Linked DNA regions of Caenorhabditis elegans. The protein of the gene in region 4 purifies or fractionates together with the protein of the main gene of each other region. This does not show direct contact. Each region holds a gene or a part of one and is shown on either strand. Other genes may lie near its edges.

Evidence for each region.
Region 1: the proteins of fkb-7 (region 4) and Y38A10A.7 fractionate together in Caenorhabditis elegans (co-fractionation; one large-scale study listed by BioGRID). This does not show direct contact.
Region 2: the proteins of fkb-7 (region 4) and spp-14 fractionate together in Caenorhabditis elegans (co-fractionation; one large-scale study listed by BioGRID). This does not show direct contact.
Region 3: the proteins of fkb-7 (region 4) and ZK632.4 fractionate together in Caenorhabditis elegans (co-fractionation; one large-scale study listed by BioGRID). This does not show direct contact.

Annotation. Positions count from the first base shown.
Region 1 is NC_003283.11:6,094,371-6,097,619, forward strand, and holds Y38A10A.7 (N-alpha-acetyltransferase 40), read left to right. Parts: upstream 1-1,826; 5' UTR 1,827-1,840; coding exon 1,841-1,941; intron 1,942-1,986; coding exon 1,987-2,325; intron 2,326-2,376; coding exon 2,377-2,533; 3' UTR 2,534-2,723; downstream 2,724-3,249. Other genes in the region: smut-1 (Synthetic MUTator), read left to right, coding at 2,735-2,867, 2,915-3,249.
Region 2 is NC_003284.9:7,724,299-7,726,884, reverse strand, and holds spp-14 (Saposin B-type domain-containing protein), read right to left. Parts: upstream 907-2,586; 5' UTR 906-906; coding exon 750-905; intron 701-749; coding exon 545-700; 3' UTR 502-544; downstream 1-501. Other genes in the region: K09F5.6 (Protein tincar), read right to left, coding at 2,276-2,586.
Region 3 is NC_003281.10:9,805,009-9,809,421, forward strand, and holds ZK632.4 (putative mannose-6-phosphate isomerase), read right to left. Parts: upstream 2,447-4,413; coding exon 2,315-2,446; intron 2,131-2,314; coding exon 2,022-2,130; intron 1,812-2,021; coding exon 1,599-1,811; intron 1,551-1,598; coding exon 1,371-1,550; intron 1,321-1,370; coding exon 704-1,320; 3' UTR 507-703; downstream 1-506. Other genes in the region: gtap-2 (Gamma-Tubulin Associating Protein), read left to right, coding at 3,538-3,666, 3,722-3,812, 3,864-3,979, 4,088-4,226, 4,275-4,413. UniProt on the Caenorhabditis elegans protein: Involved in the synthesis of the GDP-mannose and dolichol-phosphate-mannose required for a number of critical mannosyl transfer reactions.
Region 4 is NC_003279.8:10,665,823-10,671,859, forward strand, and holds fkb-7 (peptidylprolyl isomerase), read left to right. Parts: upstream 1-1,985; 5' UTR 1,986-2,136; coding exon 2,137-2,179; intron 2,180-2,813; coding exon 2,814-2,998; intron 2,999-3,234; coding exon 3,235-3,309; intron 3,310-3,355; coding exon 3,356-3,454; intron 3,455-4,045; exon of another isoform or gene 4,046-4,195; intron 4,196-4,435; coding exon 4,436-4,743; intron 4,744-4,840; coding exon 4,841-5,012; intron 5,013-5,073; coding exon 5,074-5,148; 3' UTR 5,149-5,535; downstream 5,536-6,037. Other genes in the region: B0511.12 (Pecanex-like protein), read right to left, coding at 22-198, 518-620, 667-835, 988-1,055; C34B2.4 (LIM zinc-binding domain-containing protein), read right to left, coding at 5,723-5,840, 5,888-5,966, 6,011-6,037.

The DNA.
Region 1 (3,249 bases), on a different chromosome or scaffold from region 4:
CAAAAATAGGTGGATTTTTCAAACTTTGAAAATTCATAAATCTCTTCAAAGTAATTTTTTTTGAAATGACTTTAAGAAACTTTGTAGTAAATTTTAAGCTCTTTCAGAATATATTAACAATATTTCAGTAGGTACAAGAAGCTTCACGTAGTTACAGAAATAGTACATTTTCAGCCCTACCTTTTAGTGCGTATTTTATTAGTTAATGAAAACTACCATTAATAGGCAAAAATAGATGGATTTTCCAAACTTTGAAAATTCATAAATCTCTTCAAAGTAATTTTTTTTGAAATGACTTTCAGAAACTTTGTAGTAAATTTTAAGCTCTTTTAGAATATATTAACAATATTTCAGTAGGTACAAGAAGCTTCACGTAGTTACAGAAATAGTACATTTTCAGCCCCACCTTTTAGTGCGTATTTTATTATTCAAAAAAACTACCATTTATAAGCAGGAGATCCTCTGTTGACGTTAGCACACTCTTCACTATGCGAAATCAATTTAGAAGACTGCGTCTAAATTCCCGCAATTTTCGAAGATCAAACCGAGATGGGACATTCTGACACTACGTGCACAGTTGATCGTTTGTTAATATGGCCTGGTTTTTCCGCGTAGGTTTCGATGCTTTTTTCAGTTCATGATTGCACAAATTTGTTACATTTATGCATCCATCGAACGAAATTAAACCTAAATCAACAAATAAACTACCAAATATAGAGGGTAATTATTTATATTTATGAAAGTGGAGTTCAGGTCGCTGCGAGACTGTAAAGTTGGTAAAGTGTTAGATTCTGGCGGAACATTCCCTTTTTCCAAATCTTTGAAGCCTCCTAACTTCGCCTTATTGCGAGAACACTAAATTCTGAGAATACGTATTGCGCAACCTATTTGACGCGCAAAATGTCTTGTAGCGAAAACTACAATAATTATTTAAATGGCTACTGTAGAACTTGTGGCGATTTACGGGCTTGACTCTCGAAACGAATTTCAGTTTGAAGTATGACAGCAATTTTAATTTTCGTCCATTTTTTGAGACCCGAAGAACTCGGGGGATGTCCAATTGGGGGGATTACCAACTCGGGGGATTGGCCCCGCCCACAGAACCGTGGCTTGCAATACGCCCATTTCTGCCGCACGGTTTTTCATAACTGCCGCACGGTTTTAAAATTATTTTTTCTTGTTATTTCTCGCTCTATTGAGAAAAATACAGTTTTAAAACCGTGCGGCAGTTGCAGAAATGGGCGTATTGCAAGCCACGGTTCTGTGGGCGGGGCCAATCCCCCGAGTTGGTAATCCCCCCAATTGGACATCCCCCGAGTTCTTCGGGTCTCAGACTTCTGAACTTTTCGCATGGTTAAGAACGTGCTGTCGTAACACTTTTTGTATATTTCTATTAAACATCGTTTTTTATGCTGGATAGCTGTTTTATTTCTAATAATAAAAATTGAAAATATCTAACTAGCATTCAATTTCAGATGATACAGCGAAGAATGACCCTGAAAATATTAGCTAGGAGACATATTACAACTTAAAACATACGAAATGTAAATTTGTTTCCGATTATCAACAAAATTGTACATTTTAACGATATTTTTATCAATAAAGACTAATTTTTACATATAAATGTTAATTTAAAGCAAATCCGTGACTTGACGTGATGGTGTTTGCACACTTTTCACCACAATATACGACATTCAAGTTATATGCATTTTTTTCAAATGATTCTATCCTTTCTTTTCAGTATTCTTTACGGTTTTATTGATCAATTTGTCACCAGTATAATCGATCATGTTTTATTTCTCAATAATTGTAAAACAATTTTTCAGATATCGGCCCAAAAATGCCCGTAGACTCGAAAAAATTGGTCAAAAAAGCTTGTCAGCACATAAAACCAGTTGAGAAATTCGAATGCGAGACACAAAGAAGTACTACAACTGATGGGTAGGATCTTTGAATGATTTTCAAATTAATCTTTATTATTTTCAGCGAAACTATCAAATTCGATTACATGTGGGCGACACATTTGAGTGATGAAGACTTCGAGTGGGTGTTCAGTTTATTCAAAGAGAACATGTACGATATGTATCACAAATCCCAGTGGGGATACGATGAAAATTCCAAGCGAAACGAACTTCGTGCAACAACATCAAGGTTCATCATCGCGAAGAATTCGAAAGGGGATAAAATTGGCTATACCACTTATCGATTTGTGGTCGATCACAACATTCCTGTGGCATATTGTTGGGAACTTCAAATTGTACCGGCTTATCAGAACAAAGGAATCGGTGGCATGATGCTCGACACGCTGGAAAAGCTCTCTTCAAAGTACAGTTTCAATTAATTCGAGAGCCAATAAACAAAAACTCTTATTTTCAGGACAAACATGAGTAAAGTCATGGCAACAGTTTTTCTGTATAATGGACCGTCGCTCGGCTTCTTTCACAAACATGGATACAACAGCGACGTGACGTGCCCATCCGATGATTCTGGTCTGGATTATGCGATCCTGTCGAAAGAGACACCGAGCACATAAGAATATTAAATTCTGATTCTATGATTTTCTAATTTGTTATCATCTTCATTCTGGCTTAATTGTTACATGTATTTTTTTTTGGGTAAACAAACGTTTTTTATATTTCTACTTTTATAATATTGTGTCGTAAAAACCGTTACTTTTCGTTCAAATATTTATTTTCAAACCAAAATATAAACATTTTTGTAATAATCTTTGTAGATGCCTCATCCTTGGAACACTGCCGATGCATTAGACGATAGTCGGGTACAAGTTGAGCACATTGATTTAGTTCCTCCAAAGTATGCAAATGTACTCAACTTCAGATCTATTAAAACTAGAGATTATTATTTTGGTAAACCATGTTCTGGGCAATTAAATATTTCAATAACTTTTCTTCAGCAATGAGAGATCGTCATCAGCAGTTGGGCGCAGTCACATCTTCAAAAGCTGAAACTGACAAATTGAATAAACACTGTGAGGAGAACACGATAATGGTGGATCAAGACGGAGTAGAAACTCCAGCTGATTATGGAACAGAGAGGATGGTTGCACATGCAATAGAAGATCACCGACTTGCCGCCAATTTGCAACGAATAAAAGTTCATATTCTGAATGCAGTTCAACAAAAATCAATTCAAGCTATTCGTGACCGCCGAGGACTTCTAGTGGATGCTCCAACTGGAATCGGGAAGACTTATGCGTTTCTTATTCCGGCGATTGAAATTGCATTGAGG
Region 2 (2,586 bases), on a different chromosome or scaffold from region 4:
TCTGCCTGTTTCAAAAGATAAATGCATTCACTGACAAAGTTTTGTCGAGATTTATTAAAATCGTTTGATTCAAATTTTCAACCAAAGAACGTGAAAAAATTCAAACGTTTACTGAAAAAAAACATTGATCATCGGAGTTTACTTCATCTTTCAGATTTAAATGTTTAGGTAAAATTTTATTTTAAACGCGGTTTATTAATTTTTGACATATGTAGGCTTGAATTGTTACAATTCAAGCTACACTTGCGTAGAAAATAACCTGATAACCTTATACGAAAAAAGTTTATTTCAGCTTTCAATTTGGAGCTAACAAGAAGTTGTCACGTTAGAGCCGAATCGACACTTTTTGGTAGTCAACGTCTATAGCTTTGATTGCCACTGTAGTTAACTTTGCTCTTCCTCTCACGAAAAGTCAGTTTTGTTCAGAGTTAGTGAGATTTATCAGTTTCAGGCGCGCTGATATTTGACAATTTGAAGTTCATATCTGAATAAACAATTTCAAAGGTCATTCACACTTTATCAGAAGAAAAAGAAACATAAAGAATTAGCACTCCTTGAGCTTTTTGCAGACATCTTCTGGAGCAGTTCCTCCCTCGAGCTCGTTGATGATGGGGTCAAGCTTGGAGTTTCCGTACTTCTCACATTCCTTCTCGGCAAATGGAATGATTCCAAGTTCCTTCTTGCATTCGGCGTCAAATTTCTAAAATCATATTCACTATAATGACCAAACGAACAGTTTGACTACTTACGTCCTCAACGGTGTGAGCTTCTCTGTCAGCTGGGTTTTCAGCAGCACGGACTCCGACCTCGCACATGAGGCAGCTCATGGCATTGTCCTGTTGGCTTGGGAGAGCCAAAGCGGTAGCGACGGCGACAAGGGCCAGAAGGCAGAAGGTGGTCTTCATTCTAAAAAGAAAATAATATAAAAACGACATTCTAACCTTATCAAGAAATCAGCAGTCTGCAAGTTTGTCATGAATGAAATGAATGAAAATTCCGAAAGATAAGGGAAGAGTTAAAGTGCTGTTATCATAACGATTGTCTCGTTCATTTTATACAGACTTTCAACAAGGAAATTTTAAGTGCTCAGCCCGACGAAAACTTGAATCGCATGACACTGTCCCGCCCACTTTTATAACCCACTGATAACCCGATAATCCGGAATCTTTGAGTTCTTTACTCTGTCTGATTATAAAACTCTATTTGAGATAAAACTGTTTACATCATATTTCAATAACATATTCTTATATTCCTTGATACTTTTAAATTTGTTTGCTCTTTATTAGTGATTTTTTTTTTTTGAAATTTGATTTCAATAAAATCTGAGAAAGAAAATATTGAAACAAAGAATGTGGTCAAATGGGGTTGACAAACAATAAAACGAATTATGACAAAATGTTCAGAGAAATTGTGGAAATTCAAAGAAATGTACCCGATATCCAACGGGAATATAGTACAGTAACAAAGGAAACGATTTTTGATGATTTTTGGTGTGGGGTGACATGAAAAAAGGGAGGAGGAGTAGAAAAACGTAAGAAGAAATTATCAGTTATACATAAAAATGCGGGAGGCAATTATTACGCGCTTACTTACAAGGGTCGAAAATCAAAGAAAGTGGCGAGGAAATTGTTCCATAAACAGTAGAATTCAGTCCGTTTTCAGCAATTTGCAAATCAAGACCGAAATTATAGAGAAAAATAAAAAATGAATTTCAACAATTATAGTGGGATGATGTGTTTGTTTGGCGGTTAACTGTTTAAGTGTTTGGCGAGAAGAAGTGCATTGTCACGGAGTTGATTTGGTTCATGTGTTAATTGGGGGAATAGTTCATCGGGATCAGTAGGGTTCCTGTAAAATGTATCTTTGTCAAAAGTTAAGAATGCAAACTCTGTGAACAGTGAAACTTATCAATTTCATCCTAAAATTATATGGGCTTTGAAACCGTTTTCTGAACTAATTTTATTAGGCTTACATGATCAGGTTACATGATATACAATTTCGGTTTAATCGTGTTCCTTATTTCTATTTAAAGGGTAATGCAATACTAATAGAGGAAATACGGTGAATCATAACATTTTTGTAAATTAATAGTAAAATATCTCGGTTTTTTTTTCATAATTCGATGCAGATAGTTATGATATCGCTTTCAATTGTTTCAATTTTTTTGATGATTTCTATATTTCAGAGTTGCAATCATTCCGTTTGAAAATTTTGAATTTGTAAACATTTCTAGTTACTTTTGAATTAAGACCTACCAAAAATGTAAAACAAATATTCACACAATGCTGGTAGCAAAGTCATTTTGGTTAAGTGCTCCAGTGGGTGGACGAGAAAAGCTTGATACAGTGTCATCTGTTCCGTTCACGGAACGAAGTATTGTATTTCCAGTCGTCACTGTTGTAGATTTGATCGGTGCTTTTTGAAGTGTCCTGTCAGCATATTGACTTTCTTTGGAAGCAACTCCGTAAAGATTTGACGATGTGGAAGATGCTCCATTGATTCGGGAATAGATCGGATTGGATCCTTGTGGAGATCCAGGTGTTGGAGTGTAGTTACTTCCGTGACTTGTTAGTGTTGAAGTCGGGG
Region 3 (4,413 bases), on a different chromosome or scaffold from region 4:
CTACTGAAACGAAATTAAATCAAAAAATGGCAATTGTATTGTTGAATAATTGAAAATTTGTCCAGTTGTGGAATGTTTCGCAATGCAATCAATATTTGTCCTGTCAGAGGGACGAGGGTGTAGTTTGAACGGCCATGGCCATATGGTCTGCTAAATGTTTAGCAGACCATAGCTATTTAGCAGACCCAAGCATGGTATGCTAAATATTTAGCAGACCATAGCTATTTAGCAGACCCAAGTATGGTATGCTAATTATTTATGTTAGGGACGTGAAGGACACAATAATTTAGCAGAACCAATACAAAACCTTTTTTTGTTGATAATTGTTCAATTTTAGCATTTTTTCAATATAAAATACAGGATTTTACAATAAACCTCCGAAAATTATTGAATAGAACATTATTTGAAATTTTAACGACCGGCCAGGCAGCGCTAATCGTAAGAAAGAAGGAAGTAATGTAAACAATGAATAAAAATCCTCAAATAATTATTAAGAATTGAAAAATAAGGAATAAAAATTTATTATGAACAACCCTAGATAATGAAAAACAGTGACTAGCACTTTTGTATGTAATTGAAATTCCAAAATTCCAATTTTTAGCTGAAATAACGTGGAAGCTATAGCATGGCAAGTTTAATTTTTAAATACAATCATTGCGTAAAACTGTGGTGAATTATATAAAGACATAAAAAGATTTCTGAATTAATCAATAATCAGACGCTTATTTGAAAGACTTTCGAGGGCTCTTGGTGATGGTGTGAACGCTCGGAATGCAAGAAAATCATCAGAAATATTAATCTTGGGACGTTCAGCGTCATGTGTAGCTCCAATGAAAACGACTTCTCCTCGATTCAATACTTGTGATGCATCTCCCAATGTAACTGTTGCAGTACCATAGAGAACCGTCAAGACAGAACATGATTCGGAGTAAGGAAGTTGGTAGATCGATCCAGCGGGTCCTTTGACTTCCTGCACCCAGAACTCATCAATTCCACGTGGAGTAAATAGTAGTGATCCATCGTCCAGTTCATTTGGAATATATTTTGGAAGCAGGGTCTCATCATAATTCAACATTTCAACCAATGATTCTACATCAATATATTTTGGTGTTAATCCAGCTCGAATAGTATTGTCACTGTCTGCCATACACTCAACACAATCTCCTTTCAAATAAGCATGTGGCATGTTTGGTTCTAAAAATGTTGCCTCTCCAGGTTGTAATTTGAAGTAGTTCAAGAAAATTGGAGCAAATACACCAACATCTCCAGGGTACAATGTGAAAAGGTAGACAATTATTTCATCAAGAGCCGTTTTGTTTTCTGAAATTTAGTAATTAAAAAGAAGATATTCATTCAAAAATATCGCTTACCATGTCCTTGAATTCGTCTGGCAAGTTTATCAACAACTATTTGAAGTTTTTCCTTTGGAGTTCGCCAAATTCTTGAGAAGATCTTTTTGAGAACCTGTGCAGAACTCTCTCCATAAGATCCTAAACTGTCGATTTGACTTTTCTCTTCTTCGGTGAGCAATTCTTGAATTTCAGAGTACACTGAAAAAAAGCAAATTTTAATGCTTATAATCTAATTGTGATAATTACATTTCAGATATTCACTAATTTGTGAATGTTGCCGAAATCCGGAAAGAAGCTCGAATTCAGTCAGAGCAATTGCGATCTCTGGTTTGTGGTTGTCATCTGGATAGTTCTTCGGATCTGTAGCATGAAGAAGTTTTCCTTGTTCTTTTGTTGGATGAATTTGGATTGAGAGTGGTCCAAGAACGGAAAGCACTTTGAAGAGGAATGAAAGGTTGCCTGAAAGAAATAATTAATATTTATTGACAAGGTCATGTTGTTCTTTAAGGAATTGAAATGTATCAATTGGCTTGAAATTTATGTCATTCGGAAGCTGACATCGAATTGGATATTCCTTTTTGCTGATCTCTTAACTTCCAAATTACATAAGTTTCAAGCCAGTTAGACCATTCCCAAGCCAGAACAGTAAAGAATATTTATTTTATTCACCTTTTTCATGTTTTCCCTGTAACTCTGGCGATGTAGCCAAAAGTTGTTTAAGAGCGATGTCTTTTTCGATGACGTGGGCCGGCCCGTTAGCGTGAGTTCCCACCCAGAACTGTAATAATAAAGATGATGAAAGAGAACGTGTTTCGGGAGTGATGTAGGCCGATCTGATCAGGTGATCGACGACACAATCTTCGAAAGTCACGACATAAGGTCAGAAACCACGGTAAGACGCCACAAATAGATTGAGAATCGCTTTAATTAGAACGGAAATAGATACATGTTTCATTACTCACTTCAGCGTATGGTTTGTCTTTGTCAAGATTTGGAATATGACCACCATCTAATGCAAGACTTCCAGCCATGCTAGAATTTCCTTTGGGTCCCCATGCGTAGTTATTGACAGTGCACTTTAGCTTCAGAAGCATCTGAAAACATGAATTATGGAAGAAATGTTTTGAGAGAACAGATTATGTTCGAAATATGAGTTAGGGAGAAAATAAAAGATATAATGCATCAAAATGACGGTAAACGACTGATCTCTCTAGTTTTCTCTGATCAACGCATGCGCTAAAATCGACACGTGACTAAATATAATCAGTCATAAGTTGACCATAAGACAAGAGAAAAAGACTTCCGAACTGGAAGACACGGAATACATATATATGACCGAGAGGCTCGGAGACGCAGATTGAAAACGCTGAGATCAGAACTATAAAACGAGTGCGACCGTCGACTTTTTTCATATCTTGAGTGGGTATGCGTGTGAGATTGCGTCAACGTGACTGCCTAAACTAATTGTAGAGAAAGGTCGTAAATTTTCAGACAAATCAAATGATTGTCGGAGACAGATTTATGGGTGGGATCATAAGAGAGAGATAGATCGTATTCTCGGTGATTATTTACACGATGAACGCACGCAACATGGCGACGACAACATGCGGCAAAACTGAGAAATTCCTTGATCGCTGATTTTGAAGCAGGTTAATGCCGGAAGTGGTTTTTAAATACAAAAATCGGGACATTTCTTAGCCAATGAAGGTCACAAAAGATCGAACAACAAAGTGTAAATTAATGAAAAATTATTTCAGAGAATCAGAATAGAACTTTGATGAAAGTTTATTTATTTTTGAAAGCAACAAGTTTTTTCACAAAAAATGGTTTTTACAGGCTCTATGGAAACAATGGAAAAAATGTTCCGTAGAAGTGCATGTTCTAATATTCAATAGTCGAGAACTATGAGTAAAGATGTAAATTTTATAAATTTAAATTCAAACAATACAAAATTTACAGTAGCATAAAATATTTTTAAAAAACTTTATATAAATGGCAACTAATACTCTAAAAACTTAGTCATAATGGTGGATTCATTTCTACTGAGACTGATGTTCCATAAAGTGTGATGCAGGCGTGCTCTACTAAACTCCTCCTAATGTTTTTTTGTTGTTTTTTCAATTGCCACTGTTTTTTTTTCTAATTTCAATAAAACTGAATCCTTTTTAAATTGTTTTTTTCAGAAATGCTAAGCACATTAAGCTTTCTAATACATGGGGAACAAAATGTGCAACAGTGCCAAACAATATCAGATTTGGAGTGTCTCTATCTGATCAATAAAAATCAGCCCTTACGAGACTCAAACGGGAATCCTGTAGGTTTGACAATTCTTCAAAAGAAACATCTTGGAGCTCAATTCAAAATTTCAGTTGACAGCTCACGAATTGACGGATGATTTGAATGAACGGCTGGTTACTCTAAAGCTAGAAGCATTTCGCCCGGTTGTCTCTGAAGTCCTAGGTATACATCTATAGTTTAAAGCAATTTTTGTTTGAGTTTAAATATTTTTAGATCAGCTGGAAGAACAGGATGATGCTCTCCACTATTTTGTGCTGGTCGCAACTTCCCGGTTGTCAGATGAGGATTTTGAGAATAGCTTGAAAGAAGTCTCGTTGTCCCAAAAATTGGTAAATTTTTATTTTCACAAATTTTGTAAGGTTTTTCTCGAGAAATCTTCTAGAAAACTGCTCATTTTTATATTTTTCAATCCCAGAATAAATTAATTCAAATTACAGATGGTACGAATCGATGGTGAATATAAATACAGATTATATTCAAAACCAATTGTACGAAATAACATTCCACAATTAGCATGGGATATTTCTCCAGCACTGAGAACACGCAAAGTGGCAGAAAAAGATGAGATATCACCACGTAAGAAATACTAAAAATGTTTTTTAAAATAACACTATGAAATTTCAGCAAACAATACAGCGAATGTATATCCAGTTGATGATTGGGGATTGATTTCACGGGAATTCAGATCTATTCTCTCATGTGAAGAGCTCATTTTAAGTGCTCGAGAAGGCCAATCAATCGAATTTTTTCATCTTGACAATCA
Region 4 (6,037 bases):
TTTCTCCCAATTTCCTCTCACTTTCTCTAGCAGAATCTGCGTGTCTTTCTGCTTCTAAATGTCGTCTTGCACGTGCCATATTTGCAGCAATCTCTTCTCTTACACTAGGCTCACGTCTTCCATCAAGAGCTCTTTCGGAGCCACGTAGATTATATCCCATGTCACGGAGTTCAATCATTTCAACGTCCAGTGGAGGTTCTGAAAATTGGCTAGTTCTGGTTTAGTTTTTAAGGTTTTTATGAAAACCGATGATCGAATTAGTTGAAAAAAAAATCAACCACTTTCAGAATTTTGAATACATGTAGCATGGCAGAAGAAAACTTTTTTTTCGAAAAAAAAACACTTTTTGAACATTTTTCTGTTAATTATTCGGGGTTTCTTGATTTATAATTTTTTTTTGCAATTTGATTTGGAGCGTGTTTTCCGAAATTTTCAGGCATTCAAATCAAGCAGTTGTTTTATGATTTTTTCTATATTTTACACTTTTTTAATAACTAGAATTTAAATAAAAACTTACGTTCTGATTCTCTGTACAATTCATCCACTGAATCATTGATTGTTCTTGTAACCACAACTGGATCTGTTGTATCAAAAATCATATGCAGATAGGCGACAACACTCTGAATATTAAAATATACATAATTTTCAAACGTTTCTGAAATTTACCTTAATAACAGTGAAAAAGAAAACAATAAATCCAGTATATGAAGCAGCAAATACAAGTGAGACACCTTGAGAAGCGACAAATCCAAGGATAAGGGGAAGAATAATAAGTATAAACCATACGTAGAGATGCATTGTGTTGCAGAATATTGAAAAACCCGGTTCATAGTACCTGGAAAATTTTGAATATATTGGAATTTAGCTAAAGAAAATCAATAATTTAATTCTATAAAAAAACGAAGCAATTTAATCAATTTTTAGAGAAACTTTATGAACCTGTTTTCAACGAAAAAACTTTTTTATTGTTTTAAAATGAATACTAACCATCCACCAGTGAGCGATGCCCAAATACCCTGTCGAATAACCTCGATGATGTGTGTGCCAACACTCATCGTGGCGGCTCGAGAGCTTCAGACTCCAAAATCGCTCGATTTTCTCCGGTTTTACTCTGCAAAAATCGATATTTCTAATGTATTTCTGGTTTTGTTCGGCAGAAAACTAAAAATCAATCAAAATTCAAGCGAAAAGGCTTTTCAAAAAGTGAAAATCAATGAAATGTGAGCAAAAGCGAGCAAGCTGAAAAAACAGAAAAACAGACGACAATGTACGCAAACACCGTGTGTGACGCGCATTTGCGGACTCGGAAAAACTTTTTTTGGCAGGCACAGAAAGTGGAATATCATGCTGAAAAGATGAAAATAATGATAATTGCAATTGGAAACATATGTAAAAATGTTTTTAAAAATTTTTATTTGAAAAATTGAGTATGTTTAATGCGCAACTTCGGTTTAACTTAAGGATGTTCAAAAAGTGAATTTTTATTCTATTTACACAGAATGACTTATTATGTATCCTCTGATGAATGTCTTGTTGTTACGGAGGAGATTTGTCTTTTCGATATGTTTCCTGGAAATTTTACTATTTTTTTTTCAAACTTGAATCAAAAGTTGTTGTAAAAGCTTGATTTTGTTTATAAAATTACGCAACAAATTAAGATGCGTCTTGTATACAAGGTTAATAGATGAAATAAGGTATTTACAATTGAAAAGTATACAGAAAGTTTCGGAAAGTTCCAGAAATTTCTAATTAGCTCTAGAAACTATCGAGAAATATTTGTTTGATAGGAAAAGTAACTAATATTCAGTTGAATAAACATAAAGTTCCAAAAAATATTATAAAACTACGAGAAAGTTGCTTTTTAGTTGTTACAATGTTTTGGAAATCTACAAATCAATTTTTCCGAAATCCAAATTCTCACAACCTCTTCTCCATTTTTCTCTACATAATGACCCTCTAATACCGTTCGTCTTCCCGCTCGGGTCACTCGGAATTGAACAAGGTCGTCATGTTCAGTCACTTTCCTTTGTGTCTCGGAATCTCTTGTGTCTGTGGAAAGGAATACATATCCTCCATATTCTTGTATTATAATAAGTGGTTGTCACTGTCTCATACAGTCCACTCGTATTTCACCATATGACACCTTTATTCATATTCTTAGTTCTACTAACTTCACAAGGTAGCTTTTTTTTATCCAAGGAATATGTCTACCAACCGACAGAAATTTAAATTTGCTCCATTTTGAAACGGTATATCTCAATTCATTTTGTAGATATCAATTAAAATTAATTACAAAACTATAGAAAAAGAATTAGAAATTATTTCTTCAGTTGAAATTTTTTTCACTAAACAAAAGACAACTGAGATATGAGCAACCAAAGTTGACCAATGGGATGCAGCACTGATTGAGAATGTACAGTCTACTACTTGAAAATCACTTTAGCCAATCGGACCCAAAAAAACCCAAAATTCATATTGAGGCCGTTCAAAAATTGCTCAATAATTGAATATTTTGTGGACTATCTATATATAGAACCTGTCATTTGATAGGAAACCTTATGAATGAGTCCATATAGAAAATTTCTGGAGAACTTTGAACTTGGAACAGTAGATCTTAAAATTATTCAGGTCATTAATTGTGTTTCCCAAAGTATTTTGATGGGTGGAAAAGTTTCTAATTTTTCACAAGTTTTTAAAAATTTTCTAGAAAATCTGCTTACTAAGTTGCCCTGTGTGTACAATTTGCAAAAAATGCGAATTCACGGGCCTCTACTGAATTTCAGATTAAATTTGTATTTGAAGTTTTTTTCCAGTTCTTGGTGGTCTGAACAATGGAGCATCCTCGAAGAATGTAGGTGGGAGAAGGCAGCCAACTGGTGGAGGAGGACTTGATGAAAATATTCCTGTAATTGAAATTCGAGGAGAAGGAGCTCCGATGAGCTCAGCTCAAATTAGACATTTAGAGGAGATGGATAATGGTGGTCCATTGGATATTAAGGTGAGTTTTATGTGTATAATTACGCTTACTTGGAGTTTCCTACTTATTGTAACTAGGTACTACCCGGGACACAACTTACCCCTTTTTCCAAAAACATCTGTGTTTCCATCACATAACTAAATTAAAAAAAAATAAATGTAAGGTTTTGATACCTGCAAATTTGATTTTAATGATTCAAAATAACTGCATTTCCAGTGCGACTCAACTTCTTTCAAAAACAACAGTCAAGTTTTCAGATCGAAAAAACGTTTGTGCCAGCCAAGTGCCCTCAACAAGCAAAACGACTGGACTTTGTAACTTTCCATTACAAGGTAACAAATGCACACTTCTGAAAACATTTTTGATTTCAATTTCCAGGTGTTCACAGAAGATAACAAAAAAGTATATCAAACATATGGAACTGGTCCAGTCACAATTCAACTTGGAACTGGAATGATTATGCCAGGACTTGATAAGGTGAGCATTTTAAATATTCTACCGTATTTCCTATATTAGTTTTGAATCCCTTTGCTCAACTTTTACAAATCATATCTCAGTAGTCGTTTGTTCTATAGAAAAGTTGTAAACTGATAAAATTTTTGTGAGATATTTTTCTATAGTTTGTAGTTTATTAATTATTTAAAGGTTCAAAACAAAATGAAATATGAGCTGCCAAAGTTGAGCAAAGGGGTGAAAACTAATAGAGGAAATACGGTATTTGAATGCTTAGCACCAGGTTTTATGTGTTCTCCGGTTTGGCTAAAGTTGAGTAAACCGGTTTCCCTGTTTATGTTCGTTCGAAATAGTTATTCTTGACAAGTAACCTACTTTGCTTGTTTTCTTGAGAAAAATGAAATGATTGATGGAACAATTTTTTGTTTTGTAAATTTTCCACCACGGCCGCCAGTTTAAAAAATGAAAATGTACCAATAATATAAACAAACAAGCAAACGCAGCATTTAGGCTCGAGGAAGGCAGCCTACAAACTTACCTATGCCTCAAGTTAGGCAAAGTTGTTCCAAAGCCTGAAAACTTGCCAAGATGCGCGCTGACCTAGCTTGCCTATCTAAGATCCTACCTCTGCCTACGTGCCTGCCTACGTGCCTGCCTACCTACTTGCCTAGCCATGCCCACGCAAAGTCTAAAGCTGTGTTTGCCTCTGCGTTCACCTGCCTATGCGATTGCCTTTTTACATACCTGCCTATACACTTGCCTACCTGTCAATGTTTGCCTGAATATGCCTCACCATACCTGCCTACTTACTTGTGTGCCTACCAGACTATAGCCTGAAACCATGCCAAACGCAGATTTTAATCAATTCTATAAAAAGCAAAATGCTGATTCTCTCGAAAATTTTATTTGAAAAACCTATTTTTTGAATATTTGAAGTGAAATCACAACCATTGAAAGTTCACTTTCAGAAAAAAAAAACAGTCAAATATCTATTTTTATTTCCAGGGTCTGAAAGGAATGTGTGCAGAAGAGCTTCGAAAAGTCCGTGTACCATATCGTATGAGCAGAAAGAGCAAGAGCAAGGTGTGGAAAAATATACCGAATGATGAAAACTGGCTGATTTTTAACATTGAAATGGTCGAGATCAAGCCATACACCCCAGAGATTCAGTTTAAATTTTTGGATTTGAATGAGGATGAACAGTTGACAAATAAAGAGGTTCAAGATTTCCAAAAGAAAATGAAAAAAGAATTTGGAAAGACATGGAAGAATGAGGATATTGACAATGTCACTGCTGCTGGTTATTATATCAAGTAGGTTATGCATATTTATTATTTGATGGATTCTCAAATTACTGGAGATTTTTATTTCAGAAACTTATTTTACATAGATAAATTAAAAACATTCCAGATATTTCGATGTGAATGGAGATGGAATTGTGACAGAAGTTGAATGGCTGAAAATTATGGATCGAGATGAGAAACTTATCAATGATAAGAAAACAAAAGAAAAGGGACGAAAGAGAGATCCTGGAATTGGATGGATTTTGGATTTTGATAATGACGGAATTGTTTCTTATAAGGTTTGTGGAGAACTGTTTTGCTTTAAAAAAAGTTTCAAATAAAAGATAATTTAATTTTCAGGAAAATGATGAAGCTGCTGATCGATTTGATGCAGGGCCAACACTTTTGCCAATGGAATCAAAGGATGAACTCTAATAAATTAAATTTCGTTTTGTTGACTAATAAAATAACTGTTTTGAAGTTGATATAATAGTTGTAGTAATTTTTTGTAGAGTCGGACCTTTACGGGAAAACCTTTTTGTAAATTTCTAACCCAAAAACATTCGATTCAAAGTTTTCCAATAACTATCATGAAAAGGAAGTAAATTCTATGAAAAAATATGAAGAAAAATAGAAATTGGAAATCAATCTGTAGTGCCTTGTCGTGTCTCAAAGTCTATGAAAAATTGATAAAAGTCTGTATGTGGTGTTTTAATTGTCTTGTTTATCAATAATTTTTCTGAACAATTTATTATTATTATTATGATTGAACCGGGCAAATTCCAACATTTCCCGTGCTTAATAAACTCCGAAAATTTTGATGTTATGTCTTTTGGATCACCAAAATCAGTTCCGTGTAGTAAAAAACGTAACAAAAACGTGTTTTCCCAATTTGAACATTTTTAGCTTGTTAAAAACTTGACTAAAAATGAAAATTCATTTCTTTCAAAACAAGGCTAATACATATGTAAGTCTCCAGAAACTGTTCGGTTTTGTGAACAATCTGGATTCATTTTGGCAAATCCTTTGCAACAATCATCCGAAGCTGAAGATCCCAGAAACAATCAGAATGGACACACATTCGATTCGGAAGTTGATGGAAATCTACTTTTAATGGCTTCTGGCACCTGAAAATGAAATATTAACTGAATTAAAACGGAAATAGGTATATTACACAGAACATTGGAAGCAAGTGGGATGCCACGTGGAATTCAGCGCCTCACAAAAGTTGGTCTTGATGAACTCGCCACAACCTGGATATTTATAGGGTTTCTGAAGTTTCGGAAGCTTTAGATACCTTTGCAAATAGGACGAGTCGTCTTGA